2 linked regions of the Stegostoma tigrinum genome follow. The main gene of each other region encodes a partner of the protein of the gene in region 2 in a complex. Links are inferred from orthologs where the notes say so. Each region holds a gene or a part of one and is shown on either strand. Other genes may lie near its edges.

Region 1 (7,645 bases), on a different chromosome or scaffold from region 2:
CGTGTTCCTGATGTAGGGTAGTGTGATGAGTGTGTCAGGGTGTGTAGAATCATTCTGATGCCGTTCCTGTAGGCATCTGCAATCCAACCCCACCAAAGACATTTTTCCCTCCCCACTCTTATATGCTTTCCAGAGGGACCACTCTGTCCGTGTCTCCCTTGTCCACTCCACACTCCCCTCCAGCCCCACCATCCCCGCACTTTTCCCTGCAACAGAAGCAAGTGCTACACCTGCCTCTATACGTCACCCTGGTCCCAGGCTCTCAGAAGACTTCTCACATATACTGTATCCGCTAATCCCTCTACATTGGGGAAACCAAACGGAGGCTTGGGGACTGCTTTGCGGAACACCTACGCTCTGTTCGCAACAAACAACTACACCTCCCAGTCGCGAACCATTTCAATTCCTCCCACCCCCCCGCCAACCCGACTCCTCAGACAACATGTCCATCCTGGGCCTCCTGCATTGCCACAAATGACGCTACCCGAAAGATGCAGGAACAGCATCTCATATTTCGCTTGGGAGCCCTGCAGCCGAAGGGTATCAATGTGGACTTCACAAGCTTCAAAATCTCCCCTCCCCCGACCACATGCCAAAACCAGCCCAGTTAGTCCCCGCCTCCCTAACCATTCCTCCCACCTCAAGCCCCACCCCCATCCCCTACCCACTAACCTCGTCCCGCTCCCACCATACCCCACCCGTCCATCCTTCCTGGACTGACCTATCCCCCCCTAACTCCCCACCTACATTTACCTTCATTGGCTCTAACCCCACCTCTTTGATCTGTCTATCTCCTCTCACCCAATCTTCTCCTTTATCCATCTTCTATCCGCCTCCCCCTGTTTCTCTCTGTTAACCTGTGGAACACGTTTGCTGTAGAGGGCTGTGGAGGCCAAGTTATTAAGTGTGCTTAAATAAGAGAAAGATTGGTTCTTGAATAGTAAGGGAATCGAGGGTTACAGGAAGAAGACAGGAGAATGCTGTTGAGAAACATATCAGCCATGATTGAATAGCACAGTAAACCTAATGGGTCAATTGGTCTAATTCTGCTCCTATATCTTACAGTCTTGAAATAACATACTAAGAAATGATAGTATATTTGTAGAGAACGATGATATGCAATCTTTGGTGACAAAAATCCTAAATATAGAGCATCTCAACTATTTAAGTTGGAAGCAGCATTTTCATACTGTAGTCAGTCAAGTCATTCCTAACCCTTCATTATATGAACAAAATTTTTATACATTAAGTCATATATTACAGTATCCAGGAAATTCCTCAATAACATACCTTTCGTGTTCACAGTAGCAACGCATTTTGCAGTTCGGACATCCCAGATTCTAACCGTTTTGTCACCAGAGGCAGTTACAAAGAGATCTGCATTGGTTGGGTGCCAACAAAGTTGATCCACACTGTCACCATGACCACGATAATTATTCTCCTTAACCTGAAATACGCAAAAATGTTACATAAAGAAATAAGTGAACTGAATGCGAAATAAAAATGTTATAGCTGTATGATCCACTTTCTGTAAAGAAAGGTGGACTATATTTGTTGGTGAGTGAGTAGCTTTCCTGGAAATGAGTGTCACATTGGTTATTTCCCTGTGATGATGGCAAGTACAGTTGAAAATTTCTTCAAAGCATAGAAAACCATTTCTCACTCAGCACATCAACAAAATAACTATGCAGTCACGGTTAGTAATGAACACAATTTTATATCATGCCTCAATGTGAGAAAGGCAAAAGTGCAAACATTACCTTGTTTCAAATAACTGGTAGACATACAAAAAATTTACAGTTCATTTGTGACTTCCGAAGGGTATCAATTGGCTGACCTCATTCTTCATGAAAATTAAGATTAAAAGAAAAAAAAAGTGAAAGTGTGTACCGAAAATTCTCAGGAGTTCAGTCTCTGCTGATCAATTTCAATTATATGAGGTTCCCAAAAATCATAGAATCTCTAAAGTCTGGAAAGAGACCATACAGCCCATCAAACGTGCACCACCCTCTGGAGAGCATCCCACTTTATCCATATAACTATGAATTGACTACAGCTAACCAACTTAGCCTGCACACCTTCGGGCTATGGGACAAAACCAGAGCACCCAGCAGAACCCCACACAGTCACCCAAGGTTGGCACCAAAACCGGTCCACTGGCACTGAGGCGGACGTGTTACCATGGAGCCAGCACTTACATCCATGTTAGGTGGATGGGCCATGCTAAATTACCCCATAGTATCCAGGGATGTGTAGGCTGGGTGGGTTAGTCATCGTAAATGTGGGATTACGGGGAACAAGTTTGGGGTCAAGGTGGGATTCCTTCAGAGGGCAGAATAGCCTTTTCCCGCAGTGTAGGGATTCCAGGAGTTAAGGTTACTAAGTAGTCATGACGGGGAGAGAGACAGAAGTCGTTGGAAAAGCTCAGCCGGTCTGGCAGCATCTGAGGAAGGGTCACCGGACCCGAAAAGTTAACTGATTTTTTTTTCTTCACAGATGTTGCCAGACCTGCTGAGTTTTTCTGTTTTGTTTCTGATTTACAACATCCGCAGCCCTTTCGGTTTTTATGACAGGGGGTGCGGGGGGAAAGTAGAAACAGAACACCGAACGAGCACGGGTACGGGTGTCGGGGGGAGTGGGAGCATTTTGGAGGGCTTGTATTGGGGGTACTTTATCAGGTGCTGGATACTTTAGTGACGGAGGCCGGACGGCTTGTGTGCTGTGTGTGTGTGTGTGTGTGTGTGTTGGGGCAAGAGGGAGATAAACCGAGTTGAAGGTTGATTCCCCTCTCATCCTCTCTCTGTTTCATCTCGCCACTGACCAGCCGATCCTTCTCTAGCACAAACACACTAGCTGTTTTGTCGAAGGAGCCAGACGCGAGCCTGCGTCCATCGCAGCTCCAAGCCACCGAGTGCACCTTGGCCGTATGGGCCGAGAATTCCTTGGTGCGGCCGTTATTTTTGAAATGCTCCTGGGATTCCAGCAAGTAACTGGCTGCCGCCATCTTGCCGGCTCGGTCCACTCCTCTCACAATCTGGATGGGGGAGGCGTGAGCGAATGGTCACAGGGATTACTTGGTGACTGCAGACCTCGGGCACAACTGATACTTATGTCGTTTTAAAAATCATGTTTTCTCTCTAAACATATTTGAAAATGCAACCAGTTTTCATTTTTGAAAAGTTTGTGCTCTAAAATCCATCCCTGGAAAGAAATGGTACGGTCAGATATCACTTACTACTGTCTTAAAGGGGTAATGACCCTTTCACTGCATCTCTGAGATAACAACGTGTGAAACTGGATGAACACAGCAGGCCGAGCAGCATCTCAGGAGCACAAAAGCTGACGTTTCGGGCCTAGACCCTTCATCAGAGAGGGGGATGGGGAGAGGGTTCTGGAATAGAGAGGGGGAGGCGGACCGAAGATGGGTAGAGGAGAAGATAGGTGGAGAGAAGAGTATAGGTGGGGATTTGCGTTCATCCAGCTACACACTTTGTTATCTTGGATTCTCCAGAATCTGCAGTTCCCATTATCTCTGTTCATGCATTTCTGTTTGGTTCTTTCACAGGAGAGGGCTGTACAATCCTCACTCATAGATTCATAGAGTCATACCGCACAGCAACAGACCCTTCGGTCTGACTCATCCATGCCGATCAGATATCCTAAACTGATCAAGTCCCATTTACCAGCATTTAGCCCATATCCCTCTAAACACTTCTTATTCATGTACACATCCAGATGTCTTTAAGATGTTGTAATTGTACCAGACTCCACCACCTCCTCTGGCAGTTCATTCCAAACATGCACCACCCTCTGTGTGAAAAAGTTACCCTTCAGGTCTGTTTTAAATCTTTCCTCTCTTACCTTAAACCTATGCCCTCTAGTTTTGGATAACAAAGTGTGTAGCTGGATGAACACAGCAGGCCAAGCAGCATCTCAGGAGCACAAAAACTGACATTTTGGCTCTAGTTTTGGTCTCTTCCACCCTGGGCAAAAGACCTTGGCTATCCACGCTATCATGATCTTATAAACCTCTATAAGGTTAGCTGTCAGCCTCTAATGCTCCAGGGTAAAGCTAGGTAGGGGAAACTAAACCAGGGTTTTCATTCACCAACATCTGCTGAAAGTACACAAGTGTATACTTTAGGTGAGAGTTATAAAATGTTTCAAGTACAGCAAATTTAGATTGAGTACTGGAGGATGTCTATAATCCATGGAACTTTATTCTAAAGAAAAGAGGGGGAAAGCAGGAAAAAAATAATGTTAATATCAAAATAATAAAGTAGAACCAGCCTTGGTCAGAAAGGTTTTTGACAGTATGGTAAGTTCCCCTTCAGCCGATCATACCATACTGGCCGTGAAACATCCATCTATTCTATACCATTTTCCAGCACTTGGCTCTTGGCTTCATATGCAATGGTGTTTCAAGTTCCCATCAAAATTGTTCTTAAATGTCTTGAGAGTTTCTACCTCTGACTGTACCTCTAGGCGGTGAGTCTGGATGTCCACAATTCTCTAACCCTCTGGGTGGTTGTTTTCTAACCCTCTGGGTGAATGTCAGATGTGTACATTTAGGGGCAAATGTAGGAGCAACAAGCACAGAGGACCCTAGATGACTAGGAATATTCAGTACAGGATAAGAAGGAAAAGAGAGACTTTTAACAGCTTCAAAGGGAGCATATGACCAGAAGCTTCATTGCCCTAGTGTAGGAAGCACAAAGGGGGGATCTTAAGAAAGTAATTGGGAAACTAAAGAAGGGGCATGAGAAAATACTGGCAAGTAAGATTAAGGAGAATCCCAAGATGCTCTATAAGTATATTAGGGGGCAGAGGATTACCATGGAAAATTCAAGCCTTGCGACGGACCAAGGGGGCAATCTATGTGTGGAGTCAGAGGACATCAAATGAGTTTATAATGTTAAACATGTTAAATGAGTACTTCACTTCTGTCTCCTGACTGATAGATCAGTCCATACTAATTTTAACGGATTGCAGAAGCAGTAACAAAAAATACAATGTGCCCCTACTGTTTTGGATATTTGTTTATGGTAGAGGAAAACAATGTTCATGAGTAAAATTTTGGAAATATGACGGGACAAATTGATAACACTAAGTTTTCAAAAAACTGTAGTTATATATCAGGTCCCAGATCATAAAATCATCGATGACAGCCTTCCACCCTTCAAGTCTGCACTGACAAAAAAACTACTGTCAATAATGATCCCACTTTCCAGCACATGGTCCATCGTTTTGAATTTTTTGGCAGTTCAAGTCCTCAACCAAGTATTTTTTTCAAGGTAATAAGGTTTCTGATTGATTTTTCGGAAAAGAGTCTGTAATGTTTTTGAGCAGTTTGGCATAGGGAGTGATGAGACATTAGAGATTTTGGGAAGCTTTAAAATGAAGATATCCCCAGGTCCAGATGATTTGTATCCCAGGCTGCTGTGGAAGACAAAAGAGGAAATTACATTAGCTCTGACCCAAATATTAATTCCTGTATGACCTCAGTAGAGGTGTCAGAGGATTAGAGAACAACTAATGAGGTTGCACTTTTCAGGATGAGTTGGAGAGATGAACCAGGGAATTATAGAACATTGAGTCTCACATTAATGGTAGGAAACTATTGGAAAAAATTCTGAAAGAGAGAATCAATGTCTACTTCAAAAGGCAAAGTTTGATCAGGGATAGTCGGCACTTTAGAGGGAGATTCATATCTAACAAAATTTGATTGAATTTTTCAAAGAGGTGACGAGATGTGCGGATAAGGGTAGTGCATTTGATGTTTATGTGGATTTTAGCAAAGGTTTTGACAAGGTACCATGTGGGAAATTAATAAAGAAAATGAAAGTACATGGAATACGGTGCCTCACGGGCGGCTGCTGAGCAAGGTGAGGGCCCATGGTGTTCGAGGTGAGCTACTGGCTTGGGTTGAGGATAGGCTGTCTTACAGAAGGCAGAGAGTTGGGATAAAAGGCTCTTTTTTGGAATGGCAACCGGTGATGAGTGGTGTCCCGCAGGGTTCAGTGTTGGGGCCACAGCTGTTCACCTTGTATATTAATGATCTGGATGAAGGGACTGGGGGCATTCTGGCGAAGTTTGCCGATGATACAAAGATAGGTGGACAGGCAGGTAGTACTGAGGAGGTGGGGAAGCTGCAGAAAGATTTAGACAGTTTAGGAGAGTGGTCCAGGAAATGGCTGATGAAATTCAATGTGAGTAAATGTGAGATTTTGCACTTTGGAAAAAAGAATACAGGCATGGACTATTTTCTAAATGGTGAGAAAATTCGTAAAGCAGAATTGCAAAGGGATCTGGGAGTGTTGGTCTAGGATTCTGTAAAGGTTAACTTGCAGGTGGAGTCCGTGATTAAGAAAGCGTATGTAATGTTTTTGTTTATCTCAAGAGGGTTGGAATATAAAAGCAGCGATGTGCTTCTGAGGCTTTATAAAGTTCTAGTTAGGCCTCATTTAGAATACTGTGTCCAATTTTGGGCCCCACACCTCAGGAAGGACATACTAGCCCTGGAGCGTGTCCAGCGGAGATTCACACACATGATCCCTGGAATGGTAGGTTTAACGTATGATGAACGGCTAAGGATCCTGGGATTGTACTCATTACAGTTTAGAAGGTTGAGGGGAGATCTAATAGAAATTTACAAGATAATGTATGGCTTAGAAGGGGTGGACGCTAGGAAGTTGTTTCTGTTAGGTGGGGAGACTAGGACCCGTGTGCACAGCCTTAAAATTAGAGGGGGTAAATTTAAAACTGAAATGAGACGACATTTCTTCAGCCAGAGAGTAGTGGGCTTGTGGAATTCATTGCCACGGAGTGCAGTGGAGGCCAAGACGTTAGATGCCTTCCAGGCAGAGATCGACAAATTCTTGATCTCACAGGGAATCAAGGGCTACGGGGAGAGTGCAGGGAAGTGGAGTTGAAATGCCCATCAGCCATGATTTAAATGGCGGAATGGACTTGATGGGCCGAACGGCCTTACTTTCACTCCTATGTCTTATGGTCTTATGGATCTATGTAACTTGGCAATTTGGATCCAAAATTGGCTCAGCGTTCGGAGACAGAGGATAATGGTAAAATGTTGTTTGTGTGTTTGGAGGCCAGTGTCCATAGGGATCAGTATGGATTCCTTATTGTTTGTTACATGTAGACATGAGAGAGGATAAATTGTGGAAGGGGTGATAAGTCAGTTGGCAGATGATATGTAGATTGGCCGGATAGTTGACAGTGAGGAAGCAGTTCTTCGGTTACAAGGGGATATAGATGTATTGGCCAGATGGTAAATCAGTGGAATATAAACTGGATATGTTTGAGGTGATGCCCTTTGGAAGGAAGTAACAAGACAAAGGAGTACTCAATGAATGGCAGCTCAGAAACAGGGTTTTTGGGGTGTTTTATCCACAGGTGGCAGGACAGGTTAGTAAGGTAGTTAAAGCAAGTGGGACAACAAAGTGTCGAGCTGAATGAACACAGCAGGCCAAGCAGTATCCTAGGAGCACAAAAGCTGCCACATTAGCTGAAACGTCAGCTTTTGTGCTCCTAAGATGCTGCTTGGCCTGCTGTGTTCATCCAGCTCTACACTTTATCTCGGATTCTCCAGCATCTGCAGTTCCCATTATCTCTGAAGCAAATGGGA
Region 2 (7,258 bases):
TCTTCCTATTACTGATTTTTCAATTATATTTGATTAATTTTCATTTACATCTTCAGCTAACAGCTCCTCAAAGTGTGAACATGGCACAGTTAGCCACATTGTCATCGCTGAGTCAAAGGTTTGTAGGTTACGAGTATCCAGAGGGTTACCAAGGCCCACATGCTGAACTGGACCTGCCATCAATGTTTATATTGTGGCTATGAGAACAGGGAATTCTGCAACAAGTAACCCATCTGTCTCCCCAATGTCTGTCATCGTGCACAAGGTATAAATGAAAACTCTCAAAGGACACCATTTGCCTGAAATGGTGCTGCTCCAACAACACTCAAGAAGCTTAACATCATCCAGGACAAAGCAGCCTACTTGACTGACACCACTGTTAATACCTTAGACAATCACTCCCTCCACCAACGATGTGCAGTGAAAGCAATGTATACTATTTACAAGGTGCACTGCAGCAAATCAACACTCCTTTAACAGCATTTGTCTCCAAACCTACAACCTTGAACATTTAGAAACCGGGACAGCAGATACATGGAAACATCACCACTTACAGATTATCTTCCAAATCACTCACCATGATGTTTTGGAAACACATCGCTGCTCCAGAAAAATATCATTGCTCATAATGTCAGAGCAAGGGGCTGCTCATTTAGGACAGAGATGTGAAGAAATCTTTTCTCTCAGAAAATGTTTAATCTGTGGTATTCTTTACCACAGAGGCTAGGTTGTTAAGAATGTGCAAAGCAGAGATAGACAAAATTTTAATCAGTAAGGGAATCAAGGGTTATGGGGGAAGTGCAGTTCAGGAGTGGCAGCTCTGCCATGATCTCATCGAATGGCAGATTGATTACCAAGGGAAAGAAGGATTATCCAGGGTATGCAAGAATGCAAAGTTGAGGTTAAAATTAGATCAGCCATAACCTTATCGAATGGTAGAGCAGGATCTGTAGCCTATTCTTGTGCCTAGTTCATATAGTCGATGCAGATCAGACTCAATAGGCCATATGGCATACACCTGCTGCAATACCTTATCATTCTTTTGCTGGGTCAACATCCTGGAACTGCTTCTCCAACAGCTCTGCAGCTATATCTGTATCAGAGGAACTGCAGTGGTTCAAGGAGTCAGCTTACCATGAGAAAATACCCAAGACATTTCCTTCATTTTACTATCTCTTCTGACAGCAGGCCACATCACTCTGTTACACCATTATTCAATTTTTATTTACAGATAAAAACACAGAAGCAAAATTATGACATCCAAAAAATACATACAATACTATTCTGTATTATGTCCATAGTTCTTAAAATTTCTTCCAGCAGCAGTTCAGCAAGCATCAGGTGTTAAATACCCAACCCTTTAGATTAGATTAGATTCCCTACAGTGTGGAAACAGGCCCTTTGGCCCAACAAGTCCACACCGCCCCTTGGAGCATCCCACCCAGACCCATCCCCCTATAACCCACACACCCCTTAACACTACGGGAAATTTAACATGGCCGATCCACCTAGCTTGCATGTCTTTGGATTGTGGGAGGAAACCGGAGCACCCGGAGGAAACCCATGCAGACACGGGGAGAATGTGCAAACTCTGCACAGACAGTTACCCGAAGCTGGAATCGAACACGGATCCCGGCGCTGTGAGGCTGCAGTGCTAACCACTGAGCCACCGTGCCGCCTTTACTGACCTGCCTTCTCATTCCTTTACAGCCCGTCTAGTTTTAACATCTAAGGCCAGTTAGGAACTATATTAGACTACCAAATTGAATTATAGTAAGTTTTAAAAACAATATAGACGTGAATGTGCGATTCACTGCTCTTGCTACTTACCTGGGGAAAAAGATTAAAATGTAAATAAAAACAGAACATGCTGTACATACTCAGCAGTCTGGCAGCATCCTTGAATTGAGGGAAGAGTTGACATTTCAGCTCAATGATCTATCAACTCTGGTGAAAGATTATCAGCCTGAAACATTACCTCTCTTCTTCTAACCATAGCTACTCCAGATTTAGAATTTCCAGTAATTTCTACTTTCAGCTGAGATTTTCAGCACAGTGTTTGATTTTTTTTCACTTAAATAAATTCAGTGCCACTTACAGCATCTTTTCCTCCTTTACTCTTTAATTCATGAATCTCAGCCATCAACCTTTGGAGATCCTCACAGGTTTTCTTGTACATATCATAGTCTTTAGCAGGGTCTCGTGTCTCCACTTCCGCCTCTTCACTATAAACTTTACTCTCCTAATAAAGAACACATACATGTATTTTACAGTTTTATAGAAATTACAAACAATTAACAGTAACTGATAATGACTACTGATGTACATTGAGGTGGCTAAATAAGTGACATTGCCAAATAGGAATTATAAAATGTGAAAGGGTTGGACATAACATCAGGAAGGATTCTTAAATTTGTGGTTTCTGCTCAAACACTGAATCAACTTTAGTCCGGTTCAGCTGATTATACCAGCACTCGAGACTGAAATTATATCTCCTAAAATTAAAAAAAATTCCAGATGCGGAGATTTATCTTTTAACTTCAACTTTCAAAGGACAACAGGATACTGAGATACTCTTTAGCCCAAACACAACCAGTTTCAACAGAAATTTCGGGTAAAAGTCCAATAAAATAAAATGTTCGCGCTCTCATATCCCTTCACGTTCAGTCATTCCTACACAGGGGAACAAGGTATCTGTCAGGAGGGATTAGGCTCCCCTTCTGCTTATTGTATGTGAACAAACAGCTCAATGTGTTGGCCTGGACAGGTCGGGCCGGGCTAGGCCTCGGCACCCTAGCCTCATCGGATTCAGCCTCTCCCCACCTGGTCTCCATCACCCCGAGCCTTTCTGCTCTCCTTCTCCACCGTTCCGCCATCACTCCGAATCACTTTGGTTTTTCGCTTCTTCGCCGAATCAGCGGACATTACAACTTTCCGGCCCCAGCAATCGGACAGTGACCGAGAAACTCTTTCCACAGGAGAGGCGGGGGTCCAGGCGGAAGAAATGGGAAAACTATACCTCCTCACCTGCCGGGGGCGCTGTTTCTGCACCAATGGACGAAATGGGACCCTCCCCACCTGCCGGGGGCGCTGTTTCTGCACCAATGGATGGAATGGAATCCTCCCCAACTGCCGGGGGCGCTGTTTCTGCACCAATGGATGTAATGGAATCCTCCCCAACTGCCGGGGGCGCTGTTTCTGCACCAATGGATGGAATGGAATCCTCCCCAACTGCCGGGGGCGCTGTTTCTGCACCAATGGATGGAATGGAATCCTCCCCAACTGCCGGGGGCGCTGTTTTCGCAGTGAGGGAAGAGTCCTCCCTGCCTGTTGAGGGCGATTGAGGTAAACTAATCAGCAGCGTACAAGGGATAAAATTGTATTTCTGGACAGTGTCAGGAATTGCGTGTAGTTTTTCTTTGTTTTGTGTGACTCTTACGCACTGGAAAAATACAGTTACTGACTTTGGTTCACTCACTGGGATTAGGATTCCTTTTAACAAGTGCAAAATCTCTGGAAGAATAAACTGTTAAAGTAACCACTGGCATTAATTTTAATGAACTACCATACATTTTTAATTATACCAATTTTTCAATAGCAGGTAAAACTCAGAAGTTAGACTCTGCACACAGTTTACTGTAATTGCTGGAGAAACACAGTAGGTCGGGTAGCATCTACGGAGATAAGGCAGGAAAGGTTTCGGGTCCAGTTGACCCTTTTTCAGAACGACATTATTCACTTCATAAAAGGAAACTAAAAGAAAAACCTGCATGTGTGATTCCTTATGAAGTAGAGTAAAGCCAAGTGATATTCAGGCATAAGACAACAAAATGTGAGGCTGGATGAACACAGCAGGCCGAGCAGCATCTTAGGAGCACAAAAGCTGACGTTTCGGGCCTAGACCCTTCATCAGAAAAGGGGGATGGGGAGAGGGTTCTGAAATAAATAGGGAGAGAGGGGGAGGAGGACCGAAGATGGAGAGAAAAGAAGATAGGTGGAGAGGGGACAGGTCAAGGAGGCGGGATAAGGTTAGTAGGTAGGAAATGGAGGTGCGGCTTGAGGTGGGAGGAAGGGATGGGTGAGAGGAAGAGCAGGTTAGGGAAGCGGAGACAGGCTGGACTGGTTTTGGGATGCAGTGGGTGGAGGGGACGAGCTGGGCTGGTTTTGTGATGCGGTGGGGGGAGGGGAAGAACTGGCCTGGTTTTGGGATGCAGTGGGGGAAGGGGAGATTTTGAAGCTTGTGAAGTCCACATTGATACCATTGGGCTGCAGGGTTCCCAAGCAGAATATGAGTTGCTGTTCTTGCAACCTTCGGGTGGCATCATTGTGGCACTGCAGGAGGCCCATTATGGACATGTCGTCTGAGGAATGGGAGGGGGAGTTAAAATGGTTGGCGACTGGGAGGTGCGGTTGTTTATTGTGAACCGAGCGGAGGTGTTCTGCAAAGCGGTCCCCAAGCCTCTGCTTGGTTTCTCCAATGTAGAGGAAGCCACACCGGGTACCATGGATACAGTAAACCACATTGGCAGATGTGCAGGTGGACATCTGCTTAATGTGGAAGGTCATCTTGGGACCTGGGATGTGGGTGAGGTGTGGGGGCAAGTGTAGCACTTCCTGCGGTTGCAGGGGAAGATGCCGGGTGTGGTGGGGTTGGAGGGGAGTGTGGAGCGGACAAGGGAGTCACGGAGAGAGTGGTCTCTCCGGAAGGCAGACAAGGGTGGGGATGGAAAAATGTCTTGGGTGGTGGGGTCAGATTGTAGATGGTGGAAGTGTCGGAGGACGATGCGTTGTATCCGGAGTTTGGTGGGGTGGTATGTGAGAACGAGGGGAATCCTCTTGGGGCGGTTGTTGTGGGGGTGGGGTGTGAGGGATGTGTTGCGGGAAATACAGGAGACGTGGTCAAGGGTGTTCTCGACCACTGTGGGGGGGAAAGTTGCGGTCCTTGAAGAACGTGGACATCCTGTGGGAGTGGGTGGGGGCTGGGTTCTGCAAATGTTTAAAAGAGGGCCTGAAGAGTTCTGCTGAAGAATCACATCAGAATTGATACTCGAACTCTCATTGTCTGTCTGCAGATCCAGGCAGACCTTATGAGTTTCCCCAGCACTGTCAGTTTTTACTTAAAAGGGGAGCAACAAGAAGACCACGTGCCACTTGTAGTGCAGTGATAATGTGCCACAGTGGTTACCTTGCGGTCAGAAACTCTGAGTTCACATCCTACCTAAGGAACTATGCCATTACATGTTTAAGCAGGCTGATTAAACAAAAATAAAGTTATTCTGGGTTTTATGTCTCAACCACTGAATTGGATCCAAATTGATAGCAATCAACCTCAGACACAGGACAATTGCCTGGAATATAGGGAAGAAGCATAAAATTTGGGACGTTTGATTATCCTCTGTGAAGTATACAATGTTAATATTACTTTTGACATTGACTACTTACATTTATCTAGCACCTCTAATGATAAAATGTGCCAAGGCTGTTCAATGGATAAGTATAATTCAGAGTATGATACATAACTACATTAAATGAAACAAACAAAACCTTGATCAAAGAGATAGGTTTTAAGGGAGTTTTCAAGGCAGAGAGTGAAAATTTCATACAACAGGCCTGAGGTGTCTGAAGTGTAGCCACAACCGTGAAGCAATTAGAATTGGGGATGGTCAAGAAGCTGCATTTAGGTGAGTGCAGATAACTTGAAAGATTGTATGGCTGGAGGAGATTACAGAGGCCATGGAGGAATTGAAGGCAAGGATTATAATTTTACAAACAATGTTCTTTGACAAGGAGCTAATGTAGGTCAGCAAGCAAAAGGATTTTGTTTGATTTAACACACGGGCAACAGCTAACCAAAATATGAATGAGGATTTCAGCAGTAGGAACAAGGGGTGAGCTTGACACAAAGCTAACAAAAGAACTTAACTACTTAATATGTAAAGACCGCATCAATTGCTCATGGTGGAGCCAATTATACTGTATTGTACCTAATAATAAGTAGTTAACCAATAAAGGGTAATTTCAGATTTAAAAGCTACAATGTGGTAAGGATTAGTGGGAAATTAGAGGATTGGTTAGGTTTTAATTACCAACAAAGATGATCAAGAACAAATGAGAGACAAAATAAGCTTTGGAGGTAAACTAGCATGTAATGTCAAAACAGATCATAAGAGCTTCTTTAAATGTATAAGAAGGAAGTGAAAAGCCAAAATGGTGACCTTATTGAGGTTTACAAATCATGAGGCACATTGATAAGGTGAATGACAAGGGTCTTTTCCACGGGTGGGGGAGTTCAAAACTAAGGGACATATTTTTAAGATGAGAGGAGAAGGATTTAAAAATGGACATGAGGTGTAACTTTTTTACACAGATAGTGGTTTGTGTGTGGAATGAACTGCCAGTGGTGGATACAAGTACAGTTACAATGTTTAACATACTTTTGGATGAGTTCATGAGTAGGAAAGGTTTGGAGGGATATGGGCCAAGCATAGATGGGTGGGTCTAGATTAGTTTGGGGACATGTTGGGACATGTGCACTGGTTAGACCAAAGGGTCTGTTTCCATGCTGTGTGGCTCTATAACTGGATGAACATTTGTTCCTTAGAGAATGAGGCTCGGGAAATAACATGAACCAAAGAGTAGCAAAGGAGTCGATTAAATAATTTGTATAAGTCTTCACAGCAGAAGAGACTAATTGTATTACAAAAGTACTAAATAATCAAGGTCAGAGGGAGGAGAAGATATAAATACATTAACTATCATTACTCAAGAAAAGGTCTATGGACATTAATGGGGCTAAAGGCTGATATGTCCCCTGAATCTGATGGGTTACCTCCTAGAATGGTAAAGGAAGTAGGTGCAGAGATAGTTGATGCACTGGTAGTAATCTATGAAAAAGCATTAAAATTCTGGAAAAGTTGCAGAGGAATCAAAAACTGCCATTGTATCACTTTTTTTTAGAAGGGAAAGGAGACAAAAAAAAAGTGTAACTAGAAGCCAGTTAACTTAACATCTGTAATTGAGAAAGTATTACAGCCCATTATAAAGGATGTGATAGTGAAGTATTTAGGAGTGAATAACACTTTCAAGGAGTGTCAGCATGGTTTCATGAAGTGAAAATCATGCCTAACGAATTTATGGCTTTAGTTTTAAAAACCATGTTCACTGAGTGACCTATCCACTCCCTACCTCCCCACCTATACTCTCCTCTCCGCCTATCTTTTCCTCTATCCATCTTCGGTCCGCCTTCCCCTCTCTTCTT

The links. The genes of interacting proteins can lie anywhere in the genome.
Region 1: thoc5 (region 2) and thoc3 share a complex: the UniProt entries of both Homo sapiens proteins name them as parts of the transcription/export (TREX) complex. The link is inferred for Stegostoma tigrinum from reciprocal best matches to the Homo sapiens genes THOC5 and THOC3.

Annotation. Positions count from the first base shown.
Region 1 is NC_081366.1:46,164,191-46,171,835, reverse strand, and holds the start of thoc3 (THO complex subunit 3), read right to left. Parts: upstream 3,020-7,645; 5' UTR 3,005-3,019; coding exon 2,822-3,004; intron 1,448-2,821; coding exon 1,291-1,447; intron 1-1,290. UniProt on the Homo sapiens protein: Component of the THO subcomplex of the TREX complex which is thought to couple mRNA transcription, processing and nuclear export, and which specifically associates with spliced mRNA and not with unspliced pre-mRNA.
Region 2 is NC_081379.1:20,913,739-20,920,996, reverse strand, and holds the start of thoc5 (THO complex subunit 5 homolog), read right to left. Parts: upstream 3,002-7,258; 5' UTR 2,926-3,001; coding exon 2,824-2,925; intron 2,243-2,823; coding exon 2,099-2,242; intron 1-2,098. UniProt on the Homo sapiens protein: Component of the THO subcomplex of the TREX complex which is thought to couple mRNA transcription, processing and nuclear export, and which specifically associates with spliced mRNA and not with unspliced pre-mRNA.